Linked DNA regions of Saccharomyces cerevisiae S288C. The gene in region 1 interacts genetically with each later gene. Each region holds a gene or a part of one and is shown on either strand. Other genes may lie near its edges.

Region 1 (7,822 bases):
ATGAAACTATAGCCGCAATTTGATAAGATAAGCCGTTCATTGTACTTGTAATATATACGAATTTTTCATTTGCTTCCAATTTGATATAGGAGGGGGGAGCACTTTGTATTTGCACAGTGACATGTTTTTTTTCCATTTCGACTTGGTTATTTGACAAATATTCCCTTTTCTGATCTTTTTAGTACTTTCATCACTCCTGTAGATCTGCATCGGCTTTTCGCTATTTTTCCTTGGCTTATTATAATGCGTAAGCGTTTCTCGACAGAGATATTGCGACGCTGAGAAAAAAAAAGGAAGTTCTATGCAAGGGACATTAATGATATATTAGACAATTGTCTACGTGAGCTCACATATTGTTTGCACAAACTATACTTTAATTAGAAGGCGTGAAGTAATGTTAGATGTTATAGAAAATATAACATTTAGTGTCAGTAAAATGTATATATGCATATATAATTACAAAAAAGTAGTGCTGCCCACATAATCAAACAGATCGTTCAAGCGATTTGTTTATGCACATATTTTAACTCTATCATGCCACTTGCCCTTCTTCCTCGTCTTCTTCATCATCTTCTTCATCATCCTCTTCATCCGAACTAATTTCAACGCCCAAATCCTTCAGCTTTGAGCGATATTTGGCGTTTTTCTCATCTAGGTCAGTAACCAAGAGCATCAAGTCATCAATTTCCGAACGATCTTCGTTAGCTTCCTTCAACTTAGAGTTCTCTGCCTTCAAGTTATCCAGTTCTTTAGCCAACTTTTCAATTTCTTGTCTCTGAGAATCGGTTGTCTTTTTAACAGTATCTTCATCCCTTTTCCATGCTTGCTCTTTATTCACCAAATCGTTGTATTTAGTTTCAAGCAACATGGCTTTTTCATCAAGTTGAGACTTTTCGACTTGAAACTTCCTGACTTCGGCCCTACGTTCTTCCTCGGATTTTTGTGCCTTCTGTTGGGTGCTATCTAATTCCTGTTCTAATTCCTTGAGGCGCGAAGTTAGTAATTCTTTTTCTTCTTGATTACTTTTTATTTCGGCTTGCTTGTCTTTGAGTTCACGTTCTATATCTTCTAATTTAGATTTCAAAACTGTATTTTCTTCTGCGTTGATCCTTATTTTTTCTTGTGCGTTATTTAGCTCTTGTTTTACGGTTTCTAGTTCAGAGCCAGATTTTGCTTCGATCCTCAGTTTACTTTTCAGTTCTTCAATATCCTTTTCAGATTCGTTGATTCGGGATATCAAATCTGACTTCTCATGTTGCAAGTTTTTAATATCCTCCTCAGCACTTTTTTTCGACTGTTCTAATTTTTCATCTGATTTCCTTATGGTTTCCATTGAGGATTTCAACTCCGTTTCATTGCTCTCAATCGTACTCTCTAGCTTTTTCATCATTTCTTTAGACTTTTCAAGCTCTGCTTTCTCTTTTGAAGATTCTTCCTCAAGTTTTTTCAGCCCTTCTTCAACTTTAGCTTTGGATTCTTGTGCAGCCCGGAGTTGTTCTTTCAAGCTCTCCAGGTCTCGTTTATTATCTCGCTCTATTGATAGAAGCTTTTCGTCATTTCTAGTTATTTTGTCTTTATATGAAAGAATTTCATCTTGTAAGCTTTTTATTGTGTTTTGTTTCTCTTCTAAAAGCTCATCATTGCTTAAACTAACCTTCTCTAGTTCACTCCTCGTATTATCGATCTCTTTGGCTTTTAATTCGTTTTCATTTTGTAGCCTAATTAATTCATCTTCCAAAGTATTGATCTTTTCAGAATATTCTTGTGTAATTGTTGAAGATCCTTCATTAAGTAGCTTTCTTTCCTTTTCGAAGGCCTGATTTTTGATTTGTATTTCATTTTTCAATTTTTCCAATTGCTCCTCTGCATTTTTTCTTTCCTCAGAAGATGTCTTCTTCAATCTAGACAACTCAGATTCTGATTTCTCCTTGGCCTTAGATAAATTAGTGATCTTTTCCAATTGAATTTTTAGTTCAGTCGTTTTAGCATCTAGTTCTTCTTTTATCTTCTCCGATTCCTTCTGTAGCTCCAAATATTTAGAGTTCTTATCTTCTGAGGCCTTGAGTTTGTCTTCCAATTCACTAACTTCCTTTTCTTTAAAGTTACATTCGTCTTGTAATTCTTTAATTTTTACCGTTTCTGATTCTACACTTTTGATTGACTCCAATAAACTGGCTTCGTTCGTTTCGTTCTTCTTTTTCAGCTCTTTAATTTGCAAATTTAAGGCATCAATCTCTGACTTTTTCAAATTTGATTGTTCCTCTGAAGTGCTCTTCATTGCTTTAACTTCGCCCTCCAGTTCGTCATTTTTTTTCTTAATTGATTCATTTTCTTGTTGAGTGGAAGTAATCTCATCATTTAATTGAGATATTTCCTCGTTATATTGCCTTTCCTTGTTGGCAATTTGCTCCTCGTACTTCTTCAACTGAGCTGCTAAATCTTCATGCTCTTTTTCTAATGATTCTAAATTGGCACGTAGGCTGTTGAGTTGCTGTTTGGTTTCAGTGGCCTCCTTCTCGAGTTGAATTTTCTCTTCTTTTAAATGCTCCTCGTTTTCTTTAACTTCTTTCAAAGCTTTCTCTGAAGTTTCTAGTTTTGTTTCAAGTTCATTTTTGAGATTTTTATAAGCTGCTAACTCGGCTTCCAGCTCTTCCCTAGTTTTAGTCAATTCTGAGATTTTATTCACGTTTTCATCGTTTGCTGTTGTCGCCGTTTCTAATTTTTCTTTCAAGAGACTAATCTGGGACTCATATTCATCTTTTGAAGAATCGGATTTTGAGATAATTTCCTCCTTCGTTTGTTCTAAGTCAGAGATGGTTTTTTTTAGTTGTTCGATATTTTTTTCTATACTGCCTCTTTCTATTTGAAAATTTTCTTTTTCCTGTGACATAGAATCAATTTTATTTTGCAAATTAGACAATTGTATGCTGCTTTCGTTTTTTGACTCTTCTACAGCTTTTATTAGAGACTCATTTTCAGCTTGCATATCCTTATAGTTATTTGCTAAGGATTTCAATTTTTCTGTTAGTTTCGCTACTAGATTGTCATGACTCTGAAAGCGGGATTTGTACTCAACAAGTTCCTTCGAAATATGTTCCTTTTCTTTTGATAAATTATTACATTGAATTTTCATTTCTTCCAGATTTTCATTGATAGCTTTTATTTCAGTAATTTTTGCCGCAATATCTTCTTTTAGTGATTTAGTCTCTTTCTGATGGTTGACATTGCTTTTATCTTTTTCCTTCTGTAAATTTTTACAATTCTCCTCAACTGCTTGCATCTCTCTACTCAGAGCGAATAAATCTTTACCCATTTTGTTTATACCATCTTCTGCCTTTTTCTTTTGAGACAAAATAGTTTCAAGTCCTTTTTCTAAAGTTTTGATAGAGTCTTCTTGTTTGTGGATTGTGCTTTTGTACTCCAGTAAAGCAGTTTGATTTTCTTTGTCCTTAGTTTCCAGTACATCTCTCAGTTGCGTCATTTCATCCAAGGAATCTCTGACGTTCTTCAATTCAGTTTCCAAAATGGAAAAGTTTTCTTTCAACGAAGAATGTGAGGAATTCAAAATTTGGTATTTCTCATCCAACTCTTTGTGTTCATTAGTCAACGCAATCAATTTTTCGGTGAGGTTCTCATGGGTGCTTTCCGTTTCTGTTTGCAAAGAAGTTATCTCACCCTTCAATTTTGTACATTGCCTCTGTAATTTTTCGACTTCTTCGAAAGATATTTTATTGATTGGCTCTTCGTCAGGGTCGTGAGACAATGCAGTTCTGATCCTGTATATGTTTTCATTAAATAACTGTATGAAGTAAGTGCTGAAATAAACTTTTGGTAAACCAGTTTCATCAAGCTCCGGAGTTAGTATACTGTCTTCATTCATATCAACTTTTGAGAAATATGAATCTTTTTTAAATTGTTTGATTCGAGAAGCATAATTGTCTTTTCCCAAAGTTTTAGTGATGAATTCGAAGTATTCCTTTCTTGGGAATGGAGATTCTTTCGAGGAAAACTCGTATGCCACACCTAGTAACATTGTTACAAGGCATTTGATAGTAACGTCTTCATCTTGAATTTGGTAAGAGAAGGAAAGCAAGGATTTAATCACGGATTTATCCGAAAGAAAATCGTTCGTGGCCTTAAAGTCGCCAAAGAGCCAATATATTAGGAACGTTAAGTAGGAAATAGGAATTCTTATGTCAGCAGCAGTAAGGGAAGTAGTTAGCAATTCACTTATTGTTTGAATTGCCTTTAAGGGTTCTTCGTCTTCGAGATCGTTACCGGTGGTAACATTTCTTGTTATTTCACGTAGTTCTTCGCTATATTTGTGATCCTGTTGGAAAAAAAACATAAAAATATCAGTTGTGAAGAATAATTTAAAAGGGTTCAGATTCAATTCTGCGTCATAATTTAACAGGACTTCGAATAGATTTGCCTTGAAAGAACCTTCATATTCAGTGCCATCCTTCCCGTCGGTATCTTTATCTGAATCACTTTCTTTATCAGATTTGTTAGAACCACCATTTTCTTTAGCATTGTCGCCGACATTATTTGTTGAATTATTACACAATTGGACTTGTTTTAGTAAAAAATCTCTTTGAAGATCAAAATTATCCATGAAATAAGCCTTTAATAGTCTAGAACACGCAACTCTTGTATCAAACGTGTGAACGGAGTTGGCATAGAGCATCCAATTTATCAAGATGCTGACTACAGGAATTAATTTAATTGGACCACCGTTTGCAGTAGAGTTTACAGGTAATGAAGGATCGAAATATGGAACATCGATCTTACTAAACTCTAGCTGTGCATGTTCATTACTTCTAACCATGTTTGCGGCAGTCAAAAGAGCAACCGGTCTAACTTTTTTTGGGATATTATGAAAGAATGCAAGTCGCAACACAACCATTAATACGCTTGAGTCAAGCAACGCATTTTGATGCTTAGTGGTGACAGTATTTCCTGGCTCTACTGTTAGGCTGACGATATCTAAAGCTGTATTGATATTAACTATCCTTTGATCATTCCAAAAAAAAACTTCATCTTGAGATATTGGTTCACTCAAAAGGTGTGCCAGTTTTGGCAAGTTTCCTGTCTCAAGGAATAAAGTTTGATTAGAAGTGTTATACTTCAGGATGTTATTGATCAACGATAAACAATCATTGACGACGAGAGAGCCTCTTAACCCACCTTCTTCTTCGATGATGGAAAAGAGCCTTTCAAAAATGTTTTCAAAAGCAACCAATTTTTGAACGTGAGGTGAATCGTTCACTACTGCCATTAATAATAAAATAGCTTCATCCCTGATGGGCTCATGCATGTCATCTAGGAGTGAGACCATTGTGGATATGCTCGTTGGAAGTGAAATCAAAGCACTTCTCGCCTTCAACGGCCTCGTGGCCATCACTGCCTCTAGTAATTGAATTGTGTACAATCTAATATGGAAATTATCGATTTCCCAAAATTCAACAAGTAGGTGAATTAAATCTTCAGACTGCGTCAAAGCATCAGCAATCCATAACGAGAACTGATCTACTTGTTCCTTTTCTTGCTTCATCACCAATGGTGAGGGATACTTGCCATTCTGCAACCGCGATTGTTGAGAAATCCAACCTCTAGTTAAGTCGTCATGGCCATCGCCTCTGATGAAAAGAATCAAAATTGTTTCTAATATAGCCTTTACCGAATCTTCATCCATATAATCACGTTTCAAAGTATTGAGCAACGGTTTTAGCCCGGATGCAATCACTGATTCTCTATACTGCCGGCTAAATGCCTTTAATCCCAGCACAGCGGATCTCCTATCGCTAATCAAAGTGGAGTTCTCAACTCGATCGCACAACGTCGGAATGGTTTCATCCACAGATTGAATTTTTGGTTGCTGTATCAGTCCTTGAATGATGTCCATTCTTGATAGGAGGGTTGTTATAGATATTAATCACTCGAAGTCGTGAACAAGAATTGTCTTCTCTCCAGTATTCAGTCTCTGTGATGTCTAAACCCTGTTAATGTGCAAGGTCTATTTTTTTCGTAAGAACCACGCGCTTTAGGCTTTATTTCTGGTAATAATAGCAAGAAATAAGAACAGACAGTTGCAAATCTAAACGACTGTCCAAACGAAAGTATCAAGTTCGCTAAATTTACTTCGAAGACAGAAGCCAGTAAATTTTGTTTTCTTCATGGAAATAGTTTCCAAAAAGTTCTTAGTAATTACCATATGTTCTTGTATGTGGCGCTGCGAAAGAAAGGTTAGCCGACCGGCATCACCCATAATTGTATAATATAGCAATGAAGCAACTTGTTGAAGTTTTCTTTAAAGTACTATAGTATTGAATAATATCATGTTCACTTGATAAAATTGGGTATTTTATTGACCATTATATCGCGTTGGACACTAATGTCTTTCAAGTTGGTGTCACGTCACGTGCTTTTCAATGTACTGGGGCAAATTGATTAGAGGAAGCCACAGTTTGGCAAGGGCAGATATGATAGGAAGCAGTAACGGCAAGGAAGGATAAGAACATCATTGAGGGAGTCTGTGGCAGTTTAGCACATGCTTTGGACCATTAAAGGGTTACGTAGAGGAGAAGAGCATATTTCAGGATAAACAGACAAAATAATGACGATACAAGCGAAGCCCAGTTCGAGCATATCGTATGATTCGACTACATACGGCACAGCACCGGGCTTGGATATAAAAGAGTTCCAAATCATCGAAGATTGGAATGGAAGACCTGCCAGCGCTTGGTCGGTGCAGAGGATTGGGCTTCTACAGTCCAAGATCGAAAGGTACACGTACAATATTTACCACAATAATAAATATGGGAAGCACAACTTATCTAAGCTGATACCAGGGCATGCTCTCATTCAGTTCGCTAATGAAACATTCGGGTATGATGGTTGGCGAATGGATGTTATAGATGTTGAGGCCCGGGAGTGCCAGCCCTTCACCGCAGTAAATAATGGAGAAAACACCAACACTAGTGAGGTCAAGTATACAGTTGTGGCAGAAGCCCAAGTAAAGGTTACCTTAAAGGATGGCACCAACACACAGTGTGGTGGGCTAGGTAGAATTACTTTGTCCTCGAGAGGTGAATGTTATAACAGGTCGAAAAAAGAGGCTGTAGGCGATGCGTTAAAGAAGGCGTTATTGAGCTTTGAAAAAATCATACTCGATTATGAGACTAAGATTACAAATAATTACTATGTCGATGGCTTGTATGGCTCAAAAAAAATTAAAAATGAAGCTAACACCAATTACAACTTATTGTCAGCGACTAATAGCAAGCCGACTTTTATCAAATTGGAGGATGCTAAAGGCACGCATATCAAATAAAAAAAAAAAGAAAGAAAAAGGGCACAAGTAGCAAATTTATTTTGCTTGATAAAAAGTCATAATTTTCACATAATGCATTAATACCTCTACAAAATAAGTGGCATTTGTATTTGATGCGAACGGAACAGGTATCGACTTACCTTTATCAACAGTATCGTTGATACTATTTTATTAGCATTATATTATACAAATAGATCTCACGTACTTATATATATATATATATATATATATACGTGTATATTTTTATCACTTTACATACCATTCCAAGGTAACGAAGGCATGGGCCACATACGTTTGTACAAGGACATAGCAACAACATCCTGCGCAGATAATTTACCATCAAATGTAGCCTTGAAATAACCATGCGTACCCAAACTTTCTTTAATGAAACCTGACCTACCTGATTTGGTGAACAGTGGGATAGACTTGAACCATTCCACATCTTCTGGTCTGAAAAACATGTAACGTACAGTAACCACAGTTTTGTGG
Region 2 (3,544 bases), on another chromosome or scaffold:
TATATTTGTATTGCACTTGATTTACTTATAACAGCTTAGGTTTACAATGCAACAAGATATCGTCAACGATCACCAGGAGGAGGCCCAAGGGTGGAAGTGGGAACAAATCAAAGAGATAATTGAATCGGGGGAGCTTGCCCGTTTGAAACGAAGTCGCCAGATGACTGACAAATACCACGAGCATAAGAAAAGGACTGCTGGCCTGGACATGAACCAGTACGTTTTGCAAAAACTAGGCTGGTCGCTAGACGAACCGCAGCTCGAAAATGCTGCCGCGAAGGCTTTTAGTTCTTCTACTCTATATGCTGTGCGTGCCAACGATTTCCCGTATAACTTCGAGCCTGGTGTTGTACACCTTGTTCTCTGGTCCAAGGTTGCCCTGCCAGTACATTCCCCAGATAAGGCCGTGCGCGAAGCGGCCCGCGCTCGCATGAATGCATTTTTGCAGGCACAGCCGCTACTGCGTCCACTTCTAAGCTCGGGTCACGTGGCCTGGTTTGTCAACTACCCGGAACTACAAAGTGTTGCCCGGATTTTCCACGCTCACGTGCTGCTTTTCTTCCCACGGGAACGCTATTCCGCGGAACAGGTAAAAACGACCGTTGATGATATCCTTTCACACGGTTTCGAGCCACTTGCCTGATAAAGTTTTTTTTTTTTTTTTCAGCATGCCAAAATGCTACATACATTTGTTAATTATGTACTATAACCGATACTGGTATTAATGATGCGATGAGCTGATGAGACAGTAGATAAATAAAAGACGCTTCTACCTACACAAGCACATACAATATAATATGCATATGCAACTCAGGAAAAGAAAAAGGGTTGACTATTCAGGGAGAAATCAGACGTCCGATCCTCCTTCAACCACAACGGCAGCGGTACCATCCATTATTGTCCCTAAGAAGCGTAAAGTAGTCGCACAAAACATGGTTAGTCCAGCTATTCGAGCCACAACCACAACACTGGGCACCTCAAATATAATAATACCTAAGCCTCTGCAGCGCCCTAAATTCCACAATAGCGCCAGCCTATCTTCACCTGATGATGATCCCGAAAAGATCTCTGTATTGGAAGTTCAGAAAAATTTGTCCAATCTCATCAAAAGACAACAAAGATTATTTTATAAAGATATACATAAGCCGACTCTCGCCGGCTTGAAAAATTTCGAAATGTTAAGGCTGCCCAATGATCTAAAACTCCTACAAAACATCGTAAACCTATTATATTCATTCGAGCAATTAAACAGTGACTCGAAGACAAGACCAGTCACTACTTCCAAATTAAAGGCCTCCTCTCAAGCGCACTCAGACAAATTGAAAAAAATGCTAGCTGAGAGGAAACCTCCATTTAGCCACCCCAGTCACAGCGGCACTGCCTACCACAATGACATCATCCATGAGATAGCGAATTTGCATTCTATTAACCTGGTAGATTTGATTAATTTGGAAGTATATAATAACAATTGCCATACAAACAACACAGCGTTGCAAACTACGGCGAATTCGCTGACACTTAATAGCATTATCAAAAAGCTTGACAAGCCAATACTGAAAGAAAGAAATAATTCTCTGGTATGGCCCCATAAAAGCAGATTTAAAGCAAAAAGGAACCAACCTTCGCCTGGCCAATCTTTAATTAACAATACAGATATAACTCTCTACAACGATGTATAGCCGCCATCTCTACTCACTCCATAATATTACATATAGATATAGGACAAGCCCGCATTTTCATACTGAAAGGTAAACTTCTATTATTATAGTGGTATCCAACGTTCACCGCTTCCAGCATAGCAGAAATTACGTGTTTTTGCATATGTTATGCTGATCATTGTATGCTTACTACCATTTTTCTTTGCTTCGCCTTGCCTTCTTTGACGTTTTTTTGAAGCAAAAAAAAAGTCAAGACAGATGTGCTTACAAAACCATGTAAGGCTCATTTTCAAAGAAGCTACTAATAGAAAGAGAACAAAGCGTTTACGAGTCTGGAAAATCAATGGAGGCCAAGATAGATGAGCTGATCAATAATGATCCTGTTTGGTCCAGCCAAAATGAAAGCTTGATTTCAAAACCTTATAATCACATCCTTTTGAAACCTGGCAAGAACTTTAGACTAAATTTAATAGTTCAAATTAACAGAGTTATGAATTTGCCCAAAGACCAGCTGGCCATAGTTTCGCAAATTGTTGAGCTCTTGCATAATTCCAGCCTTTTAATCGACGATATAGAAGATAATGCTCCCTTGAGAAGGGGACAGACCACTTCTCACTTAATCTTCGGTGTACCCTCCACTATAAACACCGCAAATTATATGTATTTCAGAGCCATGCAACTTGTATCGCAGCTAACCACAAAAGAGCCTTTGTATCATAATTTGATTACGATTTTCAACGAAGAATTGATCAATCTACATAGGGGACAAGGCTTGGATATATACTGGAGAGACTTTCTGCCTGAAATCATACCTACTCAGGAGATGTATTTGAATATGGTTATGAATAAAACAGGCGGCCTTTTCAGATTAACGTTGAGACTCATGGAAGCGCTGTCTCCTTCCTCACACCACGGCCATTCGTTGGTTCCTTTCATAAATCTTCTGGGTATTATTTATCAGATTAGAGATGATTACTTGAATTTGAAAGATTTCCAAATGTCCAGCGAAAAAGGCTTTGCTGAGGACATTACAGAGGGGAAGTTATCTTTTCCCATCGTCCACGCCCTTAACTTCACTAAAACGAAAGGTCAAACTGAGCAACACAATGAAATTCTAAGAATTCTCCTGTTGAGGACAAGTGATAAAGATATAAAACTAAAGCTGATTCAAATACTGGAATTCGACACCAATTCATTGGCCTACACCAAAAATTTTATTAATCAATTAGTGAATATGATAAAAAATGATAATGAAAATAAGTATTTACCTGATTTGGCTTCGCATTCCGACACCGCCACCAATTTACATGACGAATTGTTATATATAATAGACCACTTATCCGAATTGTGAAATAAATTGATCAATCAAATTAGTGGAGGAAGATAGTCAGAAATAAAGCCTTCTCTCCTCCTCTTTCGCATCTATACATACGATTTCATATATACGTTTCATTGCATCATCTTTTGATATATCTCAAAAAGATCTCTTAGTTCGCAAATAGTCAAATCTTCAAATTTATAGCCTTTATATTTTTTCCACGATTTCTGAAACTCCTTTTTATCAGCACCGTTAATGCTAGCGGTTACTGTCAAATCGCCGGTAAATTCGCGATTTCCGTGCTCTAAAGATGCTGAAGATCGTGAAGATGATGAAGTTGATCGTGAGCCATCCCTAGACATCTCTGTTGTATCTCTATTGCTCAATTCCATGGATAATTGAGACGAACTTCGTGGTATGTTTAAGTTGTTGCTACTGTGAAGGTTATTATTGCTAGTATTGTTAGGATGTGGTGGAGTATATGACCTAATTTTTCCGATGATATTTTTTAATGATGAATCAAAAACGGTCCTGAAGCCATCATACGAATTCGATCTTGTAACATCTG
Region 3 (5,009 bases), on another chromosome or scaffold:
AAAGTTTTCCCAATCTTTATCAAACTTCAAATCAGAGAATTTATACAATGAATACTGCTGGTTTCTTGCGCCCATCACCCTTAGGCAGTCATAGTCCAGTTTCGTAATTTGTAAGAAAAGGTCGGACAAATTAGGGTATCTCAGAGGATCTTTGGTTGTGTTATAATCAGGATCACTCGGCTCTTTAAAGAAAAATCCAGTAGTTTCACCATCATCTTCGAGTTTTGCAAAATATTTCTTTTGTAACTCCCATTGTGGTGGAGCTTTTCCGATATTCCCGTTGGCATCCCATGGAGTAACTATATCTAACAATGGGCCCGCCGAGGCATGAACTATGGGGATCAAACCGGAAGCCATATACTCTACAACTGCAATTCCAAAGTGCTCATTCCACATGGCATTAACACCGAAAGTAGATTTGTTTAGTAATATTTCAATCTTATCGAAGGGCAGATTTTTTTCGAATGATATCAAATGTTTAGGAATTTTTAATACATTTTCTGACCAGTCTTGTAAACTTTTAACATAATTTTCATCTTGCTTGGATCTAGTGGACCCCGCCATTATCAATTTAATTGGCGATACAGAATCCGGTAAATTTTTCAAGAAAGTTGCAAAGGACTCAATGATTAACTTATGACGTTTCTCAGGACGAAATTGTGCCAACACAATTGCTTGATTTAATCTCTCACCCTTTGCAGTACCAAACTTTTGCTTCCAATCTACTAATTTCTCAGTAGAGCATGGAGGATATATAATTTTACACGTATTGGATTGCCAAATTTGCTTTATGTGGTTATTTGTCCATGTTGAGTTTGTGATTACAATATCAATTTTAGAACCAATGGATTGATAAATTAACATAAAAACTTTCCAGTATAATATTTTACCGTAAACTTTGATACCCTTCTTGGGCATTTTGAACAGCTTATTTAACATGTCTTTTGACATTATCGGATAATGCGTATATGTGACGATAGGAATTCTCCTCAAAAACCTAGCAATAATAGGATAGCTGAAAGGGTACCCCATTGTATCAATCCATATATCAGGTGGACACTGAATAATGGATTCAAATGCGAGAATCATTGATCCAATTGCTTGTCCAATCAACGTGAAATGCTTCCATGTTGAAGAATCCACCAAGTATCTTAGCTTCAATGAAATGAAAAATATTCTATCCGAATCCAAGTCGTAATCGAACTTCGCTTTCACATTATTTAGAATATTCTCCGGAGTAACATTCTCTCCATTCACAAAATCCCCTGAATAAATGACAATAACGTTCTTAGCATCTTTTCTCAAAGTGATATCTACAGCTTTCCAGAGCACTTTTTCCCCACCACCACCAGCATTACAATACGGATGAAAAAAACCAAAAACTTTCACATTCTTCTCACCACAGGAGGCAACTGCTCTGTTCAGTAATGAAGATTTTTTGGAGAACGGATTCAAGCTGGAATACACCCATTGACGGAAGATCCACGTGAGAACCTTAATTAGTCCATACACTAGTACTAAAGATGATACAACATATTTTTTGAACCCAAAATGAGACTTAACCTCTTCAAAATTGTAGTTTGTCCAAGCACTGCCCATTTTCGCCTGCAATCACCTGAACATGTTGGTCACACTTGGATACTAACATCTATCTTCACTTCACTTACCTCTCAATCTTATTATTTATTGAACTTTTCACTTTTTGTTTAGCTTACCCGAAGGACATAGATGTAGCGATGACAACGATGAATGATACGTCAGTTAAAAGGGTCTTCGTCGAACTCTTCATCTAACCCTTCATTTGCAGTGTGCTTGGTTGATGAACCTTCTTCCATTAATGATCGACAGCTGCAGTGAATAATGTCTCATCATAAGAAGAGGGTGTACCCTCAAGCTCAGGTGCCATACATTGCAAGTATGCCAATAGTTGCAGAGCAACAGCAGTCTCAACAACAAATCGACCAAACAGCTTATGCAATGGGCAACCTACAATTGAACAATAGGGCTAACTCATTTACACAGCTAGCTCAAAATCAACAGTTTCCTGGTTCTGGGAAAGTGGTCAATCAACTATACCCTGTGGATTTGTTTACAGAATTACCTCCGCCAATCCGTGACCTGTCTTTACCACCTCTTCCAATCACCATTTCTCAGGATAACATTGTGACTCCATCCGAATATTCAAATGTTCCATACCAGTACGTCAGATCTACTTTGAAAGCGGTGCCAAAAACAAACTCTCTGCTGAAGAAAACGAAGTTACCATTTGCCATTGTTATTAGACCATATTTGCATTTGCAAGATTCAGACAACCAAGTACCGCTAAATACTGACGGAGTCATTGTCCGCTGTCGCCGTTGTCGTTCATATATGAACCCTTTTGTCGTTTTCATTAACCAAGGGAGAAAATGGCAATGTAATATATGCCGTTTCAAAAATGATGTCCCATTTGGGTTTGATCAGAACTTACAAGGCGCTCCAATCAACAGATATGAAAGAAACGAAATTAAAAACTCTGTCGTGGATTACTTGGCTCCCGTAGAATATTCTGTTAGGGAACCCCCACCATCTGTTTATGTATTTCTTTTAGATGTTTCTCAAAACGCTGTCAAAAATGGTTTATTGGCTACTTCTGCCAGAACCATTTTAGAAAACATAGAATTTCTACCAAATCATGATGGAAGGACCAGAATTGCTATTATATGTGTTGATCATAGCCTTCATTATTTTTACGTTCCTTTGGATGATGATTATGAAGTATCGGATGAGGATGATGAAGAATCAGATGGTGAAGAAGAAGATGAAGACGAGGAAGAGGAAGACGTTGATAATTCAGAAACAATTCAAATGTTTGATATTGGCGATTTGGATGAACCATTTTTACCAATGCCGAGTGATGAATTAGTAGTTCCACTAAAATATTGTAAAAATAATCTGGAAACATTGTTGAAAAAGATACCTGAAATTTTTCAAGACACACACAGTAGCAAGTTTGCACTTGGACCTGCCCTAAAAGCTGCGTCAAATTTGATAAAAAGCACTGGAGGCAAAGTTGAAGTCATTTCATCAACTTTACCAAATACTGGCATCGGGAAATTGAAAAAAAGAAGTGAACAGGGCATATTAAACACACCAAAAGAAAGCTCTCAGCTACTGTCGTGTAAAGATTCCTTTTATAAAACATTCACAATTGAGTGTAATAAACTACAAATAACAGTGGACATGTTTCTGGCATCAGAGGACTACATGGACGTTGCCACTCTATCTCACCTGGGCCGTTTTTCTGGTGGTCAAACACATTTTTATCCTGGTTTTAATGCCACCAGTTTGAACGATGTTACTAAGTTTACTAGGGAATTATCAAGGCATTTATCCATGGATATTTCAATGGAAGCTGTTATGAGAGTTCGTTGTTCTACTGGCTTGAGGGCCACATCGTTTTTTGGCCATTTTTTTAACAGATCCTCTGATTTATGCGCTTTTTCCACAATGCCTAGAGATCAGTCTTATCTTTTCGGGATATCCATCGAAGACTCATTAATGGCAGAATATTGCTACTTGCAAGTGTCAACATTGTTGACTCTAAACACTGGTGAACGTAGAATTAGAGTCATGACGTTAGCTCTACCAACGTCCGAATCAGCTAGGGAAGTGTTTGCATCCGCAGATCAACTAGCCATTACTGATTTCATGACACAAAACGCGGTGACTAAGGCTTTGAATTCAAGCATGTACTCTGCGAGGGATTTTATCACAAAATCGCTCGAAGATATTTTAAATGCCTACAAAAAAGAAATTTCGATGTCTAATATAAATTCAGTAACCTCACTTAACCTATGCGCAAATTTGAGAATGTTACCTCTATTAATGAATGGACTAAGTAAACATATAGCCCTCAGACCGGGCGTTGTTCCAAGCGATTACCGTGCAAGTGCGTTGAATAGATTGGAAACGGAGCCTCTTCATTATTTGATAAAGAGCATTTACCCTACAGTTTACTCCCTGCACGACATGCCCGACGAAGTCGGTCTACCTGACTTTGAAGGAAAAACGGTTCTTCCTGAACCTATAAATGCCACTATATCTCTTTTCGAAAGATATGGCCTGTATTTAATTGACAATTCCGCAGAATTATTTTTATGGGTTGGCGGAGATGCTGTTCCTGAGTTACTAATAGATGTATTCAATACTGACACCATATCTCAAATTCCTGTGGGGAAAAGTGAACTGCCTCTTTTGAACGATTCGCCTTTCAATGAAAGACTAAGGAGGATAATCGGTAGAATTAGAGAAAACAATGATACAATCACATTTCAATCATTATACATAATAAGAGGACCATCTATTAACGAGCCCGCCAACCTAAACTCCGAAAAAGATATGGCTTCTTTAAGGCTATGGGTATTAAGTACTCTTGTCGAAGACAAAGTTTTAAATTGTGCTAGTTATAGAGAATACTTACAGAGTATGAAGACTAGTATCAACAGATAACAATCAGTCTTTCTTTAATCTTTATCTTTATTAACCGATCATCATGTATAGATTTTGATATACAATACAGATAGAAATAAAAGTAAATCGTGAAAGATTTTGGCCTTTGCGTGTGAGAGTTATGTACTTCAAAAATGCCATTCTGTTCCTACATAAAAAATAAGTATTTTCAAGTCATCGGATCAGTACGAAAAAGAAAAATTTGAAGTACTTAAAATACGACCAGTTTCATTTAAACAGCAATGGAAAAATCTCCTCTAATGAAAAAAAAAGAAAAACATTGAAATTCAGTATAAAAATGTCTGAATTTAAGATGTATGCTTTGACATAAGATACAAGTTTGCCTCTAATTTCATTTTTTTACTAACTTTTCAACGAATCGTTTAATATTCTAATTATTTTGCAGAGTATCAAGAAAAGATCTTTATAATGAAGGAGAGGGATTAGGAGAAGATTATGATTCCAATAGTAGTAGTAAAAATAATAGTGAGCATGTAGAGGTATTAGTACCGCCAACA
Region 4 (3,200 bases), on another chromosome or scaffold:
TTGATCTCAATCCAATTTCCGCACCTAAAGCTAACGATATTGAAATATTAGAACCAATGGAAAGTCTAAGATCCACCACCAAATATTAGTGCGTTTAATTAACTTACTGTCTTTTTTTTTTTTTTTTTTTTAACCATATTACGTTGACGGGAGTTTTCTGTGCTGCTGTTATTTGTTTCACAGAACTCTCTCCTCTTCCATTGCTATCGAACAGATAAAATGGAATTTCTTTATGTATAATTACTATTGTATAATATTCAGTAAATCTAAATTTTAAGCTCATATATCTAAACACTACAACATGGAAGCAGCTTGTCCTCTTCAGGCTCACTGTATCCGTTTACTCTTATTTCGCGTATTTGCATACCATTATCTCAAATGACTTGTTATTATATCTTGATATATATTGTATTATAGAACAATTTGTGAAGAGAGGTCCATATTAAGATTTCCTCCCATTTACAAATAGAATAGAAAAGGAAATATATATGTAGTAAAAAAATCGTGATGTATACAAACTTTGGATTTGTGGAGATCGTAATAAATCGATTATTTCAACTTCTTCTTTGGACGCAATTGGTTGGTGTGACCACACTTTCTCTTTCTACAGTTGGTAGCTCTTGGTGGTAATCTGGCGTAACATTTACGACAAACAGATTTGTCACAGTTGTATTTGGAAGCCAAGGCTTTCAAAGATGGTTCAATGATACCACCTCTTAATCTCAAGACCAAATGTAAAGTGGATTCCTTTTGGATGTTGTAGTCAGATAGAGTTCTACCGTCTTCCAATTGCTTACCAGCAAAGATCAATCTTTGTTGGTCAGGTGGGATACCTTCCTTGTCTTGGATCTTGGACTTGACATTGTCAATGGTGTCAGAAGATTCAACTTCCAAAGTGATGGTCTTACCAGTCAAAGTCTTAACGAAGCTGTACAAAATTGGAATAAGTTCATTTATGGAGTAAGCACAGACGTGCGTGCGTACATCATAAAGAAAGAAACTTCACGTTAGTAAAAAATATTTTTTATGCGACCAAGTAAATATAACTATGTTATGCAAAATAAGATGGAACAAACAAACCCTTCAGCACATATGCGACATTTTCAATTTGCTCTACAGATTTAATGTAAACTCAGAAGCTTGCCGCAGGTAATAGTTTTTCTCAATTGCTACTTGTTTAATAAATTGTGAGCTTGTCAATCATTTTCCATTTATGTCTTTCGTTTATGGCTTTTTTGCTATCGTATAATCCTCATATTATTTCGAACATAGTATTCTGTATTCGCCGTAACATACATTTGCATTTTGAACCTTTGGTGGCTTTACCTCTTGCTGAACGGGAAAAAGTGATATATAAGGTTGCTCTTATTTGTGTATTTGAGATTATGAGTTGCATACCCATAATGCCTGGGATAGATGGGTAATGGCTAGTATGAGGCGGATCATATGGCGGATTATCCGCCATATCCTATTGCGGTACTTCAGAATCTGAAAAACATGAAAAAAAAAAAAAAGTTCAGCAAAAATGGAAAGATTGCACCCAGACAACTACACAAATCTATTAGAGGCACGGATGGAAATAGTATTTAAAAAGGATTGTCGAAAGATGATATGGCCTCCGATGAGAAGAAAGGCGGCTATCCTCATCCACATATAGAACACAAATGAATGCCAATAGGTAATAAATCACTAAATCTACTAGTTTGTAAAAGGTTCGAAATAATATGTCATAAATTTCGCTGTTACCTTATTGCTCAGGCGCTTAACGCCAAATTGCATTGCCCATCATTGAAGAACACAACCTAACGCGTTAATATCTCAAGCAATGAATTCAAGTATCCCTATGCAAGAATTTAAAAATTTCTCTCTCTATTTGAACTGAACCAGCATTTTTTATATCTCTCCACATATCGCAGAAAGCTTTTCTACTCTCAAGAAAAAATTGAGGGATGGGTCAACCTTCCATAGATTCTATATGGAATAATAAAATTTACTTCTTACTAACATTATATCAGGGTGAATATTACTGACAAAAATAATAACTTAAGTCTTCTTTATAATATGATGATCGACGCGCGGGGTAACGCGCTCTTCCCATCTTTGTTTCCTTTCATTCCTCTTGACATGACAACAAGAGTATATGGGAAAAGAAAACTGGAAGGCAAATTGAATACAGACAGAGATATCAATAAAAGTGGTCCATTGAGTCTTACGGCGCCGGAGAGATACGCTCCATTTACAATATTTACTGATAGATATATTGCTGCCTGTCTATTTTTCCATCTCTTGTGCTGACTAGGACTTAACTGATACTCGCCGAAGCTACACAAATAGTCAGTAACGCCACGTTTTAGGATAATGTCGGATCATGATACTCCAATGGAAAGCATACAAAATGGTGAAAATTCAGACGAAAGATTGAACGCCATTGCGTCTTTTTTCGGTTGCTCTTTAGAGCAGGTTAAATCATTTGACGGTGATGTGGTAAAACACCTTAACGATAAACTTTTACAGTTTAATGAACTTAAATCGGAGAATCTAAAGGTTACCGTCTCATTCGATGAATTGAAGGCTAGTTCTTTAAAGAAAATTGATGGTTTGAAGACAGAAATGGAAAACGTTATAAGAGAAAATGATAAAATCCGAAAAGAGAGGAATGATACTTTTGTTAAGTTCGAATCTGTAGAAAATGAAAAGATGAAATTATCAAGTGAGCTAGAGTTTGTGAAAAGGAAGCTCGATGATTTAACTGAGGAGAAAAAGGAAACCCAGAGTAATCAACAGCGAACCCTGAAAATACTGGATGAAAGACTAAAAGAAATAGAATTGGTCAGGGTTGAGAATAATCGCTCCAATAGTGAATGTAAGAAACTACGCTCTACAATAATGGATTTAGAAACAAAACAACAGGGCTATATTACTAATGACCTGAATTCTAGAACTGAACTGGAAAGAAAAACACAAGAATTGACTTTATTGCAGTCAAATAATGATTGGCTAGAAAAGGAGCTACGTTCAAAAAATGAACAGTATCTCTCCTACAGACAAAAAACCGACAAAGTAATTCTAGATATCAGGAATGAATTAAATCGTTTAAGGAATGATTTTCAAATGGAAAGAACGAATAATGATGTTTTGAAGCAAAAAAATAACGAATTGTCAAAATCTTTACAAGAAAAACTACTGGAAATCAAGGGTCT

What was found.
Region 2: mutations in USO1 (region 1) and BTS1 together harm fitness more than expected from each alone (negative genetic interaction), as found in Saccharomyces cerevisiae (3 studies listed by BioGRID).
Region 3: mutations in USO1 (region 1) and SFB2 together harm fitness more than expected from each alone (negative genetic interaction), as found in Saccharomyces cerevisiae (3 studies listed by BioGRID).
Region 4: mutations in USO1 (region 1) and RPL40B together harm fitness more than expected from each alone (negative genetic interaction), as found in Saccharomyces cerevisiae (3 studies listed by BioGRID).

What each region holds. Positions count from the first base shown.
Region 1 is NC_001136.10:343,748-351,569, reverse strand, and holds USO1 (Uso1p), read right to left. Parts: upstream 5,906-7,822; coding exon 533-5,905; downstream 1-532. Other genes in the region: YDL057W (uncharacterized protein), read right to left, coding at 1-136; RAD59 (Rad59p), read left to right, coding at 6,617-7,333; small subunit rRNA maturation protein TSR1, read right to left, coding at 7,585-7,822. UniProt on the Saccharomyces cerevisiae protein: Required for protein transport from the ER to the Golgi complex.
Region 2 is NC_001148.4:422,350-425,893, reverse strand, and holds BTS1 (farnesyltranstransferase), read left to right. Parts: upstream 1-2,001; coding exon 2,002-3,009; downstream 3,010-3,544. Other genes in the region: HTC1 (Htc1p), read left to right, coding at 47-643; YPL068C (uncharacterized protein), read left to right, coding at 798-1,679; guanine nucleotide exchange factor MUK1, read right to left, coding at 3,108-3,544. UniProt on the Saccharomyces cerevisiae protein: Catalyzes the trans-addition of the 3 molecules of IPP onto DMAPP to form geranylgeranyl pyrophosphate. Required for the membrane attachment of YPT1 and SEC4. May be involved in vesicle trafficking and protein sorting.
Region 3 is NC_001146.8:534,763-539,771, reverse strand, and holds SFB2 (COPII subunit SFB2), read left to right. Parts: upstream 1-1,860; coding exon 1,861-4,491; downstream 4,492-5,009. Other genes in the region: alpha-1,2-mannosyltransferase ALG11, read right to left, coding at 1-1,599; YNL050C (uncharacterized protein), read left to right, coding at 4,790-4,806, 4,898-5,009. UniProt on the Saccharomyces cerevisiae protein: Component of the COPII coat, that covers ER-derived vesicles involved in transport from the endoplasmic reticulum to the Golgi apparatus.
Region 4 is NC_001143.9:617,447-620,646, forward strand, and holds RPL40B (ubiquitin-60S ribosomal protein eL40 RPL40B fusion protein), read right to left. Parts: upstream 1,305-3,200; coding exon 1,297-1,304; intron 929-1,296; coding exon 550-928; downstream 1-549. Other genes in the region: PTR2 (Ptr2p), read left to right, coding at 1-89; MLP1 (Mlp1p), read left to right, coding at 2,359-3,200.